Drosophila melanogaster: one gene and its partner. The protein of the gene in region 2 interacts with the protein of the main gene of each other region in a biochemical or structural test. Each region holds a gene or a part of one and is shown on either strand. Other genes may lie near its edges. The genes, in order: DIP-eta and dpr2.

The links.
Region 1: the proteins of dpr2 (region 2) and DIP-eta form a complex in vitro, tested with the Drosophila melanogaster proteins (one study listed by BioGRID).

The regions. Positions count from the first base shown.
Region 1 is NT_033779.5:5,614,832-5,619,877, forward strand, and holds the start of DIP-eta (Dpr-interacting protein eta), read right to left. Parts: upstream 3,116-5,046; 5' UTR 2,824-3,115; intron 831-2,823; exon of another isoform or gene 399-830; intron 1-398.
Region 2 is NT_033779.5:10,960,915-10,965,857, forward strand, and holds the start of dpr2 (defective proboscis extension response 2), read right to left. Parts: upstream 3,240-4,943; 5' UTR 2,312-3,239; intron 454-2,311; 5' UTR 311-453; coding exon 172-310; intron 1-171. Other genes in the region: Tmem214 (transmembrane protein 214), read right to left, coding at 4,691-4,805, 4,878-4,943.

The DNA of each region.
Region 1 (5,046 bases), 5.3 Mb from region 2:
ATTACTTAAATTACTATTGATAAGCTGAGGTTGAACCCTATATTTCTGTTCAAACTATTTTTACGGAACACTTAAAACTAGTTCGGGGGCAATAATAGAAGGGTGCCTGCTGCCAGACGCAGATATCAATATGTTCGAAAGTCCGCCCTTATGATTGGGGAACCTTGATTAACTTTCCAGCTGACTCGGCCATGAGCCTGAACATGCAAACGATTTCGGGTTTTGGAAAAATAAAAGTCTACTTTCTGGCGGCCGCAAACTGACAGGAACCATTTTAAACTGACATTTCATTAAAATTCCTTGTCCCCTCCCTTCGAGTTCGTATTGATTTTTTCATAATTTAGCGGAATTGAAAGCAAAGTTGCCGGCATGTGTGCTATGTGTCCTTTGTCATACACACATACACACACACACCCATACACTCACACATTTAAATCCGCATTGCATGCCCAGAAAAGTAGACTACAAAAGACAACAGGCAAACGACAGCACTGCAAATGGTTACAGGGAGGGGGTGGCGGTTGGCCTGGAACGGCGGTAGGCACTAAAAATGTCTAGCAAATGGGCCTGGCAATATTATTAATAATTTAGAGCATGCGGGCCACGTCAGGAGTCGGACTCGGAGTCAGGGACAGGTGATGGCTTCAGGCTTCAGGCCCACGGCCTGACCACAATCCGAAGCCATATCGAGGCGATTGTGTCGAAAGTACCTTCCCGCTTCTGGTGGGCAGCTCTTGGATGTTTGGTGCCATTGGATATTGATGGCGATGTAGATCACTGATGTTTATTAATTATCACGAGTTAAAAGTTTTGCTTTTCTAAATTGGCACAACAGCCTACACTGACAAAATATCTTCATTCATTCAAGCATATATAATATATATTGTGTTTCACATTCTTCTGTAATTATATAAAATTGAAAATATTTTGTAATAAATAATGGAAAGTATTTAAACAAAGCGAAAATTCAATCGAGCAATGTGATGAATGCCTAAATTGACCACAAGCAATTTTCCAAGCAAATGTGTAATTTATTTCAATTTGGATGTTTCTAAATCCTTTTCCTGTACTTATTTTGTTACCAGCTTTAAGTACAACTTATGAAAAAGCAAAAAAAGAAAATATTTATGACAAATAATAAGAGGTGCTCATGGCACCTTTGTAGTGTTCAAGCCATATATTATTTTTATGGTTTCGGACATGCACGGTCCCTTTTTCTCCAACGCTTCAATGTGTATAATCAGCTGCTGAATTATGGCAAATTTTCAGTAACCCCCCCGACAGTTTGCTTGAAGCACCTTTTGCATTTTTCCCTTTAAAACAATAATGCTGACATGTAGAAGCTTCAACTGAAATGTCATTCGCTACTACTACCAGACTTCTCGAGCTATACTTTAAATTCAATTTCCAGCGCAAACATTAATTAACACGTGATAAATATCCCGCTCTATCGCGATGCCACTTCGACATTTTTCAGAATTATTCGCCGTCTAGCTTTTTAAATTTTTTTTAATCCGGCCCAGAAAAGGGCAGCCCAGTTAACCGGACCTTGCATAAAATTTGCATAACTCATAGTGTTCAGGCTGGCAGCGCCTTCTAGAAATCAGAGTTTCGCTCGGTTTTTCACAATTTTCTCCTCCGCTCGCTTTCCAGCACGGAAGTTGATTATTATCGCTTGTTATTAACAACAGCAACAACAATGGCAGGAAAAATCCAACTCCTCACATGCCGGCCATTATGTCAAGCCGACTGAACGACGAGGCCTTGCCAACCATTTCGTTATCGCTCCGGGGGCAATTGGAATTCTTCTTATGCAATTGATACCGGAGCAGGCGGGGGAATTCGGATTAAGGGGATTACGATTTCGCAGCAGAACAACAGGGTTTTCAATCTTGAGTCAACATGTTTTAATTTCCATAATATACATATATGTATACCACTCGGCCCCACCTGGAGCGTCAGTAGACAGTGCACATTCGGCTGTGGGCGCCAACTGAAATCACAATCGAGCAGATAACAACTGATCAGAAATTATATGTAAAATGCAAATGATAGAGAAACGCCATAAATCGAAAACAGGCACCATCATGCCACCCCGGGGGAAAACCACCGAATGTGGGTTGTACAGTGTACACTGTACACATATTATTTCCGGTTCGTCCCAAAAGCGCTGCAACATATTTGCAACAAATGGCTAGCCAGCTAGACAGCAAATTGGCATGAAGCGTCGAGGGTTTGTCCTGCGCTTTATGGATATCAATGAACTTTAAATTACACTCGGGCAGCCGTGAAACATAAAATATGCAATTGTTGCCCATGTGGCCTAAACAGTGCACTCCTGCCATACGGGGACACTCGTAATAAACAGCGTCGAGTGGCGCGCCAGACACATTCACATTTGTAGGCAAATTTCACGATACACACACACACACACACAGACACGCATGCAGCTGGAATGGCAAATCATGTGACGAGCATTGACCGCCGAGGGTGGCCCGATTGTTGTTGCTTCATAAATAACTCGGGCTTTGTTTTTACTTTAAATATAATTACAGCAAACACGCAGCTGACGGCAAATGTCGCCAAAATCGCGGCTAAATTGCCAACAAGCGGCTAAAAACGCGCGCGACTCAACACGCGAGCGAATTCTACTTGTTGTCGATTTGACCTGGCCGAAATCGCTGCCAAACTATTTTCGAATGCCTTCACTGGCCGCAATCACAGCCAGCGATTAGAAAAAGGATTCCTTGCTTTCTTTCAATAGTCTTGCATGCAGATTTTAATGGAAGTTCGCATTTAACTTAATAGCTGCAGCATAACAACCTTTTTCAGAGCATTTTCTTGGCAATCTTGTATTTTTCGTGAAACTCCAAATTGCACATGTCCTGCGGCTGAGCTGTCCTGATTTTTTTTTTTTTAAATCCTGTCGAGAAATTCGCTCAGCACAAGTCACTCATGGCGTCTACAGCATCACTTCGATTCACTTGCAGCACGAATGCAACACTTGGCGGCAAAAAACACACGCGATTCCGTTAGGGATTCTGCTTGCTTGTATGCAGCAGGATTCGAAGGACTAAAGGCCAACCGCACGAACCGAGCGCCGTCGATGTACTGAAGCCAGCATTTCCGAGGGCCACCAAAGTCGCGTGGAACGACTCCCAGCGACTGCCGAGCGATGCCGAAGATGCTCCTTTGGCGAATCGTCGTCGTTTTGGGGGGTTTTGGGGGGAGTGTGGGCGCCCCAGTGGGTGGGTGGTGTTTTTTAGTGGGCGCCCGGGGGGTGGGCAGCGGCCTCGCGAACGAATCAGACAACTGTGATTTTTGTTGTTGCTGGGCCACATTTTATTTTGCTTTTTGTTGGCGGGCGCTTTTCACTTCGTGGTGCTTCTTTTTTCCTAACATGCTCTGCGCGTGTGTGTGTGCGTGTGCTGCCCAATGGGGGGCGCGCTCTCGGCTCGGTTGAATACGAATTGAATGGCATTGAAAGCCTGGGAAATTCTCTCGCCATACTTTTGGGCGCGTGAAACTGGTGGCTCGCATTTATGAATGAAATCTGTGGCAAAGGAAAGGGTTAACCCTTTTTGGGTTGGGTGAAGGGATGGTGATGGTGAGAGGGGGTGCTGATAGTAAGTAACTGTGTGAGATGAAGAAATGAATTGTCATTGGTCGTGGCGCTTGAATATGAGAGAGGGAATTATCACTTGCAATTCTGACAACTGCAATAAGTACAACAGATTATTGCCATAGGAAAATACTATATATTTTGACTTGTAGGTAGAAGAAAATGGAATGGAAGCCATCTGCAAGATGATCTTTCGCTGTCTTCTATTTTGGATCTCTTTTACGGGATTCATTTAATATAAATCAATCATTATCAGAAAATTATGCTTTAAATTTAAGTATGTATTGATAAAAAACAATGTTTCAATGGTTCGCAAGAAATAGTTTCCATAAATTTAAAGACGTAACTAAGGCCAATCTTACATCTAACTGAAATCTGTTTGAAATTCTCAAACAAAAATTTTCTAACGATATAATTTGTAGTATATATGCAGAAACAAAGTTCTTTCCAACTAAGAATTGAAATAAAATTTTTAAAATTAAATTAGTGCTTTACTAGGCCGTCTTATTTATATAAAACGATATAACAAAGTCGTTCAGCATGAAATATTATTTAATAAAATTCGCCTGCATCGTTCCGAGTCAGTTTTGATTGTTATTAAATATATTAGTGCCCCCAATACTTTGAAATATGCAACTAAAAATTGACTGCGATCGATTCAAAAATGCTTCAAAGTCCGTTCGCTATGATACATTATTTAATTAAATTTCTTCTGCTTGGTGAAACTTTTCTTTGGAGATTTCCATTATGTGTGGCAAGTGCAACAAGCGAGGCAGGAAAGTCACCCACCCACACACGCACACCAGCCAGTCGCTTTTCAATAACCGTGCCACATTGTGTCAGGCACCGTTTTGACCTGGCCACCGCCCTCTGCAACTCTAAATTGCTCATATATACTTATATATATATATATATATTTCGGGAGCTAATCAACTCCCGCCCCCTTTCCCTATCGCGTCTTTATAACAGGCATATAATTTCGCACAACACACGCACACGACCAATAAATAATAGCGATGGAAACAGTAGAAACCCACCAATAACAGATTTTATGACGTATAAAAAGGATTTATAAAGCGTCCCTGGAAGGAACTATCTATCCCGCTCCATTTCTCCATCGAAAACTTTTCATTGCGTGCCAATGCACTGGAGCCACAAATCATTTTTACCAAAAGGGTTAGCTCTACACTCGAAGAAAGAAAGTTGATTATTTTAAATTAAAATCAAAGAGATTACATATTAGAATTATTCAAGAACAAATACACTTTAATGAAATATTACGTTATGTTCAACGATGGATTTATAAATTTGACTATTCAACTATTTGAACTATTTTCTCTCAGTATATAGGGACTGGGAGGACTAGCAACTTGTTTTCAAGTTTCTTGCTTTGTTTCCTTTGCCTTGCTTCCTGGCTGGTATCC
Region 2 (4,943 bases):
AAATACGTATATGATATGTAAAATTTTAATAAACTTAACTACGGCCGTTGGTCATTGTTAATTTATAGCACATACATTCATAATTCATATCTTAGAGATGGTATTGAAATATGCTTTTATATGTGCACTATTAAATTGAACATGTGTGAATTGCGAGTGAGATCTACTTACACAACGATTTGACTGCAGGATGTTGTTGGATGGCAGGACTCAAGTGTTGTTGTTGCATTGTCCAAGCTCTCGAAATGCTTATCATTATTACGAGGATTGGCGTTGCGATGCAACCGAAGCATTTTCCCTCCATAGCCATGGTCCTGCGAGCCGGATCTTACTTATTTATATTTATTCACCTCAATGGCGGTTAGATGAGTGTAATTTAGCCCCACAAGTTTACGTATTTTGGTTTACATTACTGCTAATGGTTTGGTTCCTAAATCGTTTTTGAAGTGCATTCTATAAAGAGAGGGAGGAAACATTTTCATTAACGCTATTATTTGTGAAATATTCATGAAAAGCACTTGAAATGAATTAATTTGAATTATTGCAGCCATTCATTGCACTGCTGCCTAACTTAACATAAATCATTGAAAAATTATAAAAGTGTTTTTTTTTTTTTTGTGACAAGAATATAATTAAATAGTTATATTTTTTTGCAAATTCTAAAGGATTCAAGCCATATATAGCCAAGTTTATAGTTGGGGTATGTGAAAAACCAATTTCGTCCATCGAATTCCATGTTCGTACAGCATTTAACTGAAGCAAACATTGATATTAACCGTAGGCCTTCATTATAAATGTCCTTCATTCACATCATTTATCCTGTATCAAATTGCAACGGCATTAATTTATTTTTACATTTTCGGAATGTTTACGTTTGTATTTGTTAAGCCCTCATATATTGTCTGTAGTGGCAAGTTGCTTATCGCCACCATGTCACAGGAGCAGTTTTAACCAACGCAATTTGTATATTTACAACCCGCAAGCCGCACTCAAATAGTTTTTTATTTGGCCATAAAACACATAAATTGTGCAACTGAAAGGTGTAGCCTTGATCACTCACGAAATGTGCAAGGGTCAAAAACCAATTAAAATGTTAATTTCTCCACAAACTGCGCTTTGTTTCACGTTACAATCGTGCTCCACGAACGATCCAAGAGATATTGTATTCAATAAATATCGATTCCATGCCCTTCGACCCACCCTTCAGTTATCATTACCACAGCACTTAAATGATTTCAACCGTTGCTGGAGTTGTGTAATGAGTTGTTGTTTGTTGCGATGCCAATCAAACAATGGTGGTAAAATTAACATGGAATCAGCTTAAAATGCGCACTGCAATTGTTATTTTCATGGCATCGTTGGTTAATTGAATTTAGTGGTTTTGGATATGTATTGTTACTTTTTGGATAATTTAATGCCAAACTTTCATCGCGATAATGATGCATTTATAATTTTAGGCTAGTCCATTTTAAGTGCCACAAGTACAGTCTGCTGTTAATTAATGATATATATTGTACTTCTATGGCAGAGTCACTCAAATTCAACTAAGCCCACTTATCAAATTTAGCAACTGGCTTTTGTCTTCCGTTGTGTACTTCAGGCATAAATGCAAGTTAATTAAGCAAACCTGGTTGCACATTAATCACCTGGACACCCGGCCAAAAAGCCACAAAAGCACCTGGAGACCACTTGATCTTTAAGGAGAAAAGTCAAGGCATAAAGCTCGAAAGAAAATTCAATTAGAAAAACACGAAAGGCGGCCAAAAGAGCGAGGAAAACGGTTCGATTTCAATGTCTTCTTTTTTTGGGGGCTGTCCCCGGACATATGTATATACTGCTATTCCCTATTCAAGCCATTCTTTATAAGGTTATAAGATTAATGAGAGACAAGCTCATCTAATACTATTCCCTCAAGCGGCACTTAATTAATGCCACATGCAAAGAGTCCTGCGAGGTCCTTGGCCTTTGTCGAGTCCTTTTAAAGGCAGCTGGCAAATTGTCCAAGAAGTTTTCCTTAAAATTTTTTTTACTGTCGTACTTAACGAGTTTTTACTAAAACAAGGTCGGCCTTTTGCCTTTTTGCTTAAATATTAAATGTAATTATACTTTATTATATAGTATAATATGTGCAAAAAATGCTTTAAATCAAAGCCAGTGCTAACAAATGGATGTGTACATGTTTGCAAAAGTTTTAAAAGTCCAAAACTACACCAATTATTGACTGTCTGTGGAAAGTTTATTTATTGACGGAACAACTTTGACCTTTCCGCATCACCTCATTAACTTTTTTGTGGTTTAGTGAATTAATTACCTTTCCTACTTCATATCACCACAAGAACTCATTAGAAATGAGGACTCACTTCAAAGTCAATCCGTAACACACGTGCTCATTAGGTACATATTTCCGATTTTTCATTCTGCCCTGGATTTCAGAGGAAAAATGCGAGTGAACTTCAAAAGCAGATAAGGCGAAGAAGAACTTGGAAAAACTTCCATCTCAACTTGGAAAAACTTTGATTTAACATTTATTTTTGCACGAAACTCTTGGTTGTTGTTTATGCAACTGTCTGGAGTTTCAGTTGAAGTCTGTAAAAAATGTGTTTTGTTTTCTGTGTTTCAATCCTATCGCTAAGCGTATAATTTGCAAGAAACCTGAGTAACAAATGCATTTTCGATTGGCATTAAATCACGTCGCCCGTCCGAGTTCATTTCCGATGAGAAATAAATGTTTTTCTCTGATTTATCTGTGCTCCACTTTTCGAGGAGGGAAAATCGAGCCACATTGAATGCGAAAGAGCAGTGTGGGTGGGTTAATATTAATGTACTTAAAGCTGTTATTCGACTCAATTTTGGTGTCAGCAGCAGCAGGGCGAATATTTCCCATGAATTTAACCATTTAAACATCCAATGTTAGTTTTTAACAGACAATTAATTCAGGGGACAATATCTTTCACTGGCCGCATAAAGCGGCCTCCAATTCGAAACTTCACTTTTGCCTCAAGAGCATTATACACTGAGCGAAATCGAAGCCGAACGATCTTAGTGTCGTCTCGCGCACAAGTTGAAAAAACAGATGCGGCAGTTGGGAAAGTTGGGAAACCGCGACACCGCTATCGAATGCGGCAACTACGAGATATCCTTTCGTGGCCAGGACCACAATCTGCGATAAGGACTCGTAGTCACATCCGCGCCAAAGGACGAAACACGTGCGCCGCGACTTGAAATTCATTTGATACTGCGGCATCCGAGGCCGGAGCTTTTCCGTATTGTTGTTTCCTCCGCGCTGCAAGTAATCGTTCCGATGTGAACCGAGTCCTGCCAGCCACGAACAGGACGACGAGTTGGTTGTTATTGTCACTCCCGCACTCCGAAAACGGGTGACTTTGCGGCGAATTCGGGAAAATCCTTGTATTTGAAGGGGCGACTGTCTCCAAGATGAACGTCTAAAAGGGAAATTTTGCGGGGAGAATTTAAGCAACTATAATGAGAACCCTACTTTGTTGTACCAATTAGGAAAAGATTCTATCCAATCATGCCATTTCATGAAGATACCAAAGCTTATAAATATTTTAGAAATATAATTAAAACTTCTTCAACTTTAAAGGTGTTATTTTTCAAATACGCAACAATTTTTTGTTGTTTGCACTGCTTTGAATTATGATACACTGCTTAGGAATTTCTCTTCACTGCTTATATGGGTAACAAAAACCTAGGGAAATTTTAGTTCTTGGACTGCTTGCAAAACATTTGAACTGCTTAGTTTCGAGAGAACTGTTCTAGAAAAATTGCCCAGGAAATATTACTGATCTAAATTCTAGTCTCTTTTGGGAAATAAAAACTGCTTTCAAGCCGCTTTTCCAATTTAAACAAGTGTGTAGTGCAAGCCATGCTGCCAATGCCAACAGGTGTGTTCAGAATCTTACGATTCATCAATATGCCCCCAAAAACATAATCAAGCACAGAAAAACATTGAGAAATACGCCTTTACTTCACATCTTTCAATTTTATTTTATTTATGCAAAATCGTGTTTTCCATTAAATATACAAATGAGATTTAAAATCAAATCAAAAGTATCGCGCTATTATGCAAGTATTGGGGAGGAGTCTACAGAAATGTACACACAAATGCAAGAAAACTATGAATAAAAGTATAAAAATATTTGAATCTATTGTTTGCCTTCAAAATGCAGTTGGAATTGTTAAGTTCAGTTAACACAATAGAGTTAACACTTCGCGCATCGCCACAAAAAACGCACTTTAATAATTACAATTACAAAATTTCAATGGTAGAACTTTTCACAAAACTCTCATGCCGTTGTAAACGAATTTAAAAATAATGTTTTCTCAACTTGGAGAAAAATGTTTAAACACATGTTTTACAACAGAAAATTTCTCGTGTCTTTCACTAATTTATCAGTATCGAGGTTGAATTTACTAGATTGTTAGTGTACTATCGGCATCCACAAAGATTTGCTCGTATTGCTTTTTCTTAATTAAACTTGACGAGAAGTTGTTGATAAATGTGAATGACTTCTTGAGTTTCGACTTATAGAACATTTTCCGGTTTTTTAACTTTTTGCGAAAAATTAGGGCTTCCTTCACTATTTACTATGACGCGTATTCTGTTTGCATCTGCTGCAGCTGCTGATGATGTTGCTGTTCGAGAAGTAAGCGTTCCTGACGCTTAAAATCATTTGAGCTTGGCGTATGCGTCGACCTTTTTGTGAAACTGGTTGTAGTACTCCAGGGCGGCGTTACGCGTCTGGTTCAGCGCCTGATTGATGTTCTCGGGCGAGAGACGGCCACTAAACAAAGATCACAATCATAAGGGATGCATTCTCAAAGACAACAAAGGCCAGGCAGGCAGGCATACTTACACAAGCACCTTTTCCTTGATGAGCGCTGCAGCCTTTTCATAGCTGCTGGCGGCTAAATCGCTAACG